2 linked regions of the Macaca mulatta genome follow. The protein of the gene in region 1 interacts with the protein of each later gene in a biochemical or structural test. Links are inferred from orthologs where the notes say so. Each region holds a gene or a part of one and is shown on either strand. Other genes may lie near its edges.

The links.
Region 2: of the proteins of SIK2 (region 1) and CRTC2, one has a biochemical effect on the other in vitro, tested with the Homo sapiens proteins (2 studies listed by BioGRID). The link is inferred for Macaca mulatta from reciprocal best matches to the Homo sapiens genes SIK2 and CRTC2.

What each region holds. Positions count from the first base shown.
Region 1 is NC_133419.1:112,460,063-112,463,873, reverse strand, and holds part of SIK2 (serine/threonine-protein kinase SIK2), read right to left. Parts: intron 1,330-3,811; coding exon 1,101-1,329; intron 245-1,100; coding exon 1-244. UniProt on the Homo sapiens protein: Serine/threonine-protein kinase that plays a role in many biological processes such as fatty acid oxidation, autophagy, immune response or glucose metabolism.
Region 2 is NC_133406.1:113,081,661-113,085,471, forward strand, and holds part of CRTC2 (CREB-regulated transcription coactivator 2), read left to right. Parts: intron 1-606; coding exon 607-708; intron 709-784; coding exon 785-901; intron 902-1,460; coding exon of another isoform or gene 1,461-1,463; coding exon 1,464-1,525; intron 1,526-2,171; coding exon 2,172-2,240; intron 2,241-2,411; coding exon 2,412-2,515; intron 2,516-2,965; coding exon 2,966-2,995; intron 2,996-3,149; coding exon of another isoform or gene 3,150-3,164; coding exon 3,165-3,229; intron 3,230-3,353; coding exon 3,354-3,403; intron 3,404-3,536; coding exon 3,537-3,781; intron 3,782-3,811. UniProt on the Homo sapiens protein: Transcriptional coactivator for CREB1 which activates transcription through both consensus and variant cAMP response element (CRE) sites.

The sequences.
Region 1 (3,811 bases):
AAGCTCACTGGAGACCTGTTGTGGACCTCTCGTTTCTGGGAGCTCAGAGCCTGCATGGCTGGGTTGGTAGGTCTCAGGCTTATGAAGGGAGATGTCATGCGGGGTGAGGGCTGATTGGCTAACATGATGTCCTTAAGGGATGGGTTGTCCTCCAGAAAGTTCAGGTCCCTCTGAACAGACCCCATATCATACTCCGAGTCCACACTGTCAAGGGAGGGGCTATCATTCATGGAGAAAATTTTCCCTTTAAGAGAAAACAGAACAGATAAAACCAACAGCAATAGCATCTTCTTGGAACATAGGGTACAAAGCATAACCAGCTTGAGACTTGACAGCTACCATGTCCTTAATCTCCAATCAAAACATCTTTTCAGAGGTTTACTTTTTACTGGCCAATTTAGTCATCTTCAAGTTTAGTGGGGAAAACACTCCAGAAGTGGCATCTGTAAGATCACAGCCACTCCAAAAGACTGTAAGATCACAGCCGCTCCAAAAGACTGTAAGATCACAGCCGCTCCAAAAGACTGTAAGATCACAGCCGCTCCAAAAGACTGTAAGATCACAGCCAGTCCAAAAGACTGTAAGATCACAGCCAGTCCAAAAGACTGTAAGATCACAGCCGCTCCAAAAGACTGTAAGATCACAGCCACTCCAAAAGACTGTAAGATCACAGCCGCTCCAAAAGACTGTAAGATCACAGCCGCTCCAAAAGACTGTAAGATCACAGCCACTCCAAAAGACTGTAAGATCACAGCCACTCCAAAAGACTGTAAGATCACAGCCGCTCCAAAAGACTGTAAGATCACAGCCAGTCCAAAAGACTGTAAGATCACAGCCACTCCAAAAGAGCCAGAGTCCCTGATGAATCATGTGGCACCCAGATGAATCCTGGGGACTACGGGAGCCAACTCTGAGACATTTCAATTCACCTTTGATAGCTGCTGCCAGGCTGCATCTGCGATGCCTGCTGAATCTGCTCCATAAAGGAATAAGCTATCGATTCAATTTTAGGAGTTGGCTGGCATCATGACCACTTGTTGGCGATTGGAGTATGAGATGATGCCATGAAGACTTAAGCTAGTGTCGCTCCTCTACCGTACCTGCTCCAGGCATCACGACCAGTTGATTGGTCACTTCTGACAGAGTGTGCCGTCTCTGCCCGCTGCGTGTGGACTGAAATGCCTCAAAGGCATGAGCGGGGTCTTCCTCAGCCTCTCCTTCTGTCTCCAGCCCTTCGTCAATGGAGGTCTCCATCATGTTGCTGGGCAGTGACTGGCATCCCTTCCGCACCAGGACAGGAGGCACAGGGTCAAGCAGACAGCCATTGACCTAAACGCCAGGGGAGAGAGGAAACTCAGTTTCTGCATTGCTGAGACAGAAAAATCCACAAAGGAAAACATGTCAAGACTTGTGGAAAACTAGAAATTAAGTAAAATATTTAAACATGCACATATTTATTATGAATGACAACACACATAGATTAGAAGTGAAGGCGAGTCAACTGCAGGACTCAGAGAGAGACAGAAGCCCGTGATGACCTGAACTGGCACTGCTGCCCAGGTTTCTCTGAGTCATCATTATTAAAATAAAAAACTTTTTTTTTTTTTTTTTTTTTTTGAGACGGAGTCTCGCTCTGCCACCCAGGCTGGAGTGCAGTGGCCGGATCTCAGCTCACTGCAAGCTCCGCCTCCCGGGTTCACGCCATTCTCTGGCCTCAGCCTCCCGAGTAGCTGGGACTACAGGCGCCCGCCACCTCGCCCGGCTAGTTTTTTGTAGTTTTTAGTAGAGACGGGGTTTCACAGTGTCAGCCAGGATGGTCTCGATCTCCTGACCTCGTGATCTGCCCGTCTCGGCCTCCCAAAGTGCTGGGATTACAGGCTTGAGCCACCGCGCCCGGCCAATAAAAAACTTTTTTAGTGGTTTCCAGAAGAACAGGGGTATATTAGTTTGAGGCCTACCGGTTATTTTTTTTTTAAATAAGGGAAATGAAGAGGGGGAAGATGAGTTTTTTTTTTTTTTTTAAACTGCATGGCTCACTGCTAAAAAAAAAAACAAAGGGGGGGGTAGTCACCTTTTCAACCACAAACATACTGGAAGGTTTTAGAAAGACTTTTATGTTCATAATTTAAGTACCTGCCCATTTGTTCTAGTCTTTAATTGGTTCTCTGTGCCTGAGGAATGGAAAGTAAGAATTCTATATAGACAGACTGATACCACAAAAAGGATTGAAAAAAATTCAAATGGCAGACAGCCAAAGCCTTCCATTGTAGAACAACAAATGGCTCACTGGCCCAAAATTCCAGCAAAGGCTAATAAGCCCCAGGGCACTGAATTCTGTCTCCTGCAGCAACATATACGTTATGGATGGTTCCTATCCCACAGGGGTGAGCGCGGCACAGCTCCCTGCAAGCACTGGCCCTTCCCATGCAGTTGCCACGCAAACCGCCCAATGGCAGGCAGAACAGCACACCGGCGGCAGGGTGGGAGTGGGGGGGTTTGTGGTTGCAAGTTCAGGCTGGAAAGGCCCCTGTGAGGAGGTAATTATTTACCTCATTACCTTAACTATTCCCCCGTGGAAATCAATCTATTTTCTCCTATGAATAGCTGCTCGGGAACAGCCAGTAATAAGACGCTTCGTTCTGAGCAGTACTTTCACCTGGAAAACACTGGGTAGAGCTGCTGTTTCCTTTGGAAGCAGGAGAAGCTCATGTATGTGAGAGGTGGCGTGGGGTTTCCCTTTGCCAGACACACAGGAAACTTTCCTCTTACGGCAGCCAATCTGAAGGCGCGGCGAGGCCCTTTATTTGGAGAAGGAGACTCGGGTGACTCAGATCTTTGTTTGTTGCAGGGAGGGGAAGGTTATTCCATAAAATCCATTCTGGGCTGTAGCCCTCACTCGGGTAAGGTGGCTAATGCATTACAGGGTTTTAAAGTGATGAGTGGTCATTTAAGAGGAAGAGTGGCAAATGCTTCCTTTCCACATTGGCCAACCTTCCCCATGGCAACAGAAAGCAAAACTCTGAAACCTGGCCAGCAACTCTTACTCTCTCCTTGGTCCTTCCCCAGATAAACTTTCCTTTCTGACTAAACTTAATAGTTTCCTTGCAAGAAAGAATGGCTGTTTGAGAACTTATATTCATACCTCTAAGCTCCTTAACTCTCTACTAATACAATTTTCTAAAACTAGCCAAGAATGGTTTAGAAATGAATAAGGCAACAGAGAAAAGAAGATCATTAAGTAATTATCTATTGAGCATCCTTATACTTACGGCTGCCGTCAAAAGACATTTCTTATAGGATAAGCCATACAAGTAGGCTCTTTTTTCTTTTCTTCAATTTTTAAGTTCCAGGGTCCATGTGCAGGATGTGCAGGTTTGTTACATGGTAAGCGTGTGCCATGGTGGTTTGCTGCACCTATCAACCCATCACCTAGGTATTAAGCCCCGCATGCATCAGCTATTCTTCCTGATGCTCTCCCTCTCCCTACCCCCCAATAGACCCCAGTGTGTGTTGTTCCCCTCATGTGTCCATTCTACTCCTACTTATAAGTGAGAACATGTGGTGTTTGGTTTTCCGTTCAGCTGAGGATAATGGCTTCCAGCTCCATTCATGTCCCTGCAAAGGACATGTTCTCAACCCTTTCTATGGCTGCGTAGTATTGGTGTACATGTACCACATTTTCTTTATCCAGTCTATCACTGATGGGTATTTGGGTTAATTCCGTGTCTTTGCTGTTGTGAATAGTGCTGCAACGAACAGACTCGTGCATGTATCTTTATAATAGAATGATTTATAATCCTTTAGGTATATA
Region 2 (3,811 bases), on another chromosome or scaffold:
GGCAGCTGGAGCAGAGTGACATAAACACGTCTCACTGCAGCCTCTACCTCCCAGGCTCAAGCGATCCTCCTGTAGCAACGGAGTCTTACCGTGTTGCCCAGTCTGCTTTCCAATACCTGGGGTCAAGCGATCCTCCTACCTCTGCCTCCCAAAGTGCTGGGATTACAGGTGTGAGCTACTGTGCCTGGCCTAGATTTTTTTTTTTTGAGACGGAGTCTCGCTCTGTCACCCATACTGGAGTACACTGGCGCGATCTTGGCTCACTGAAAGCTCTGCCTCCCGGGTTCACGCCATTCTCCTACCTCAGCCTCCCAAGTAGCTGGGACTACAGGTGCCCGCCACCACGCCCAGCTAATTTTTTGTATTTTTAGTATAGACGGGGTTTCACCGTGTTGGCCAGGATGGTCTCGATCTCCTGACCTCGTGATACACCCACCTCGGCCTCCCAAAGTGCTGGGATTACAGGTGTGAGTTACTGTGCCTGGCCTAGATATTTTAAAAGCAGTGACAGCAGCAGCATATCCTGGTGACAGAGATGGCAAGGATGACTGAAGGAAATAGTGCTCAGGACCTTCCTGACATTCCCACTTGTTCCCCATGTCTCAGTTACAGGCCCAAAAACTGCGACTGGCGTACACAAGGAGCTCTCATTATGGTGGGTCTCTGCCCAATGTTAACCAGATTGGCTCTGGCCTGGCCGAGTTCCAGGTGAGTAGACACCAGCCAGGGAGGAGTGGAGGTTCTTTAGGCTGCTTCCTCTGCTGACTTCTGTCCTTTTTGGCAGAGCCCCCTCCACTCACCTTTGGATTCATCTCGAAGCACACGGCACCATGGGCTGGTGGAACGGGTGCAGCGAGATCCTCGAAGAATGGTGTCCCCACTTCGCCGATACCCCCGCCACATATCCTTCACAGGGGACTTGGGAGTGTCTGAAAGATAGTGGGATGGGGTTCCTCAGGGACTTATAGGAAGCACTTGAAGTGTTGTGCAGTCCCATCCTTCTCCTGGAGCTCTTCTTTACCCAGCTTCCCTGAAAACAACCATAGCTCCTGCATCAGCACCTGGTCCTGTGATAAGGAGTTTTTGCTCCTGAGGCTGTGCCCCCTGTCTCTGGCTGGCTCTGGCTGTCTTCACATCAGCTTGCTGCCAGAGGCAGCCTTCCTTGTCTCTTGCTAAAGGAGATTGCGTCCCTTCTCCTCACATTTCTGAGTTTTCAGTCTCAGAGACATGTGTACCTGTATCCTCGAAGTCCTGCCTGGACATTCTCCTGGATTTTTTTCAGCCCCGTTAGACCTGATTCCCTTCTTCTCTTCCATTCTTTGATCCTATCGTTGTCCCTTATAGAAGAGGAGAAAGGTATGTGTTTCTCAAAACAACTTATCTGCTGCCTCCACTGTTCTTTCCTCATCTGGCCTCTATCTCATCTGTCCTCTCTACTTTTTTCCTTAACTGGTGCTGTTCACATTGACAGCTCTCCCTACAGTCCTGCCTACTTATCTCCTCCCCCAGAGTCTAGCTGGCGAAGGTAAGTGTCCAGGGCAGGCGGAAGCTCCTGCCTACTCTCTGCCATGTTTCTGGAGGGAGCTGCCCCTTCTGGGTTGGGGCTGGGATTACTGAGCTAAGGTTTCAACAGTACCTCTTCCTATAACGCCAGGGCTGAGAGAGGTGGAGGCAGTTGGAGTAGGTGGGTCAGAGTCCAGCCTTGGCCATGTTGACACGAGTGGTCAAGCCTCCCAGTCCAGCTAGAGCAGAACCAATGGGAACTGTAGCCAGCTTGGGGTGTGTGTGTAAGGGGGAGGGGAGAATGGCAGAGGGGCAGGTGAAAATGGTGACCTTCTGTCAAAGGTGGGTGCAAGATGTAGTGCTCTGGCACTTTTAGATTTCTGAAACTCTCCCCTTGTCCATCTCACCTTCAGTGCTCATACCCAGAAGAGCTGCTGGGCTCCAAGATTCCCATTCAGCTGGTCCTGGCAGAGAGGTTTCCAGCTTTCTTAGATTGACTGGGGGAGGGGTCAATCATAAACAGGAGAAGAAACAGAAAGAAAAGGGGATGATCTGGGTGCCTAGCCATCTTCACTTCCATCTTGGCTGCCCCACATTTTCCAACCCCTATACCCACCTTCTTGTCCACTGCCAGCCTTCCTCCTCATGACTTTGTTTTTCTACCCCAGGACGATGCCCTGGGGCAATTTCCCTGCAGAGAAGGGGCAGTTGTTTCGACTACCATCTGCACTTAACAGGTGATGGCCTTTGCCTTCTTTAGGCCACATCTCCTCTTATCTGTAGTTTCTGGGGCCCTGTTCCCTCACCACCCCCCATTTCCAGCCCAGCTAGTGTTTTCCCTTGCTGGGCAGGGCTTAGGGACCAGGAAGACTGTCACTGGTGTCAGCTCATTCCTGCTCCCCCCATAGGACAAGCTCTGACTCTGCCCTTCATACAAGTGTGATGAACCCCAGTCCCCAGGATACCTACCCAGGCCCCACACCTCCCAGCATCCTGCCCAGCCGACGTGGGGGTAAGTGGCCCTGTCCCAGGGTTGGGAGTAACCACGGAGCTATTTATTTATTTATTTATTTATTTATTTATTCATTCATTCATCCATTCATTATTATTTTTTGAGACGGAGTCTCACTCTGTCGCCCAGGCTGGAGTGCAATGGCACGATCTCGGCTCACTGCAACCTCTGCCCTCCGAGTTCAAGTGATTCTCCTGCCTCAGCCTCCCGAGTAGCTGGGGTTACAGGCGTCTGCCACCGCGCCCAGCTAATTTTTTGTGTTTTTAGTAGAGATGGGGTTTCACCATCTTGGCCAGGCTGGTCTTGAACTCGTGACCTCGTGATCCACCCGCCTCGGCCTCCCAAAGTGCTGAGATTACAGGTGTGAGCCACCACGCCTGGCCTCCACGGAGCTATTTAAAGCAGGTAGGCAAGTGGGCACTGCAGCCAACGCCACTGTATCCCTTGCAGGTATTCTGGATGGTGAAATGGACCCCAAAGGTATGTGTTCCTCACTGCTGTGGGTACTGGATGCCAAACAATTTCTGGGCTGGTGTTGGGATTGTGTGCAGGTTCAGGGAGCAGGACTCCTTCCCGCCTGCTTCTGCTTCCTGTCCTGCCTTATGGGCTCTTTCTCCAACTCTCCCATCACCAGTCTTTCTCTTTCAAGTACCTGCTATTGAGGAGAACTTGCTAGATGACAAGCATTTGCTGAAGCCATGGGATGCTAAGAAGGTAGGTGGAGGCCACCGGGTGTCACCCACTAGTCTCTCTGCTATCCCCTTGCCATGGGGCAGGCCTTCCAGGGTTCTGCACTGAGCACTGTCCTCATTTTCCATATTCTTCCTTCTTTCCTCAGCTATCCTCATCCTCTTCCCGACCTCGGTCCTGTGAAGTCCCTGGAATTAAGTAAGTATTCCCTGAGGTTGGCTGAGAGTTGGGGGAAGGAAGTACAGGGAGATGTAGAAGACTGATCTCTGCTCTTCCCTGACCACCGCACCCCACTCCTATTTACATCTTTCTTTTTCTCTCCTTCCCCTAGCATCTTTCCATCTCCTGACCAGCCTGCCAATGTGCCTGTCCTCCCACCTGCCATGAACACGGGGGGCTCCCTACCTGACCTCACCAACCTGCACTTTCCCCCACCACTGCCCACCCCCCTGGACCCTGAAGAGACAGCCTACCCTAGCCTGAGTGGGGGCAACAGTACCTCCAATTTGACCCACACCATGACTCACCTGGGCATCAGCGGGGGCATGGGCCTGGGCCCAGGCTATGATGCACCAGGTGAGTGGCTGTCCTGGCCATGTGCCCACT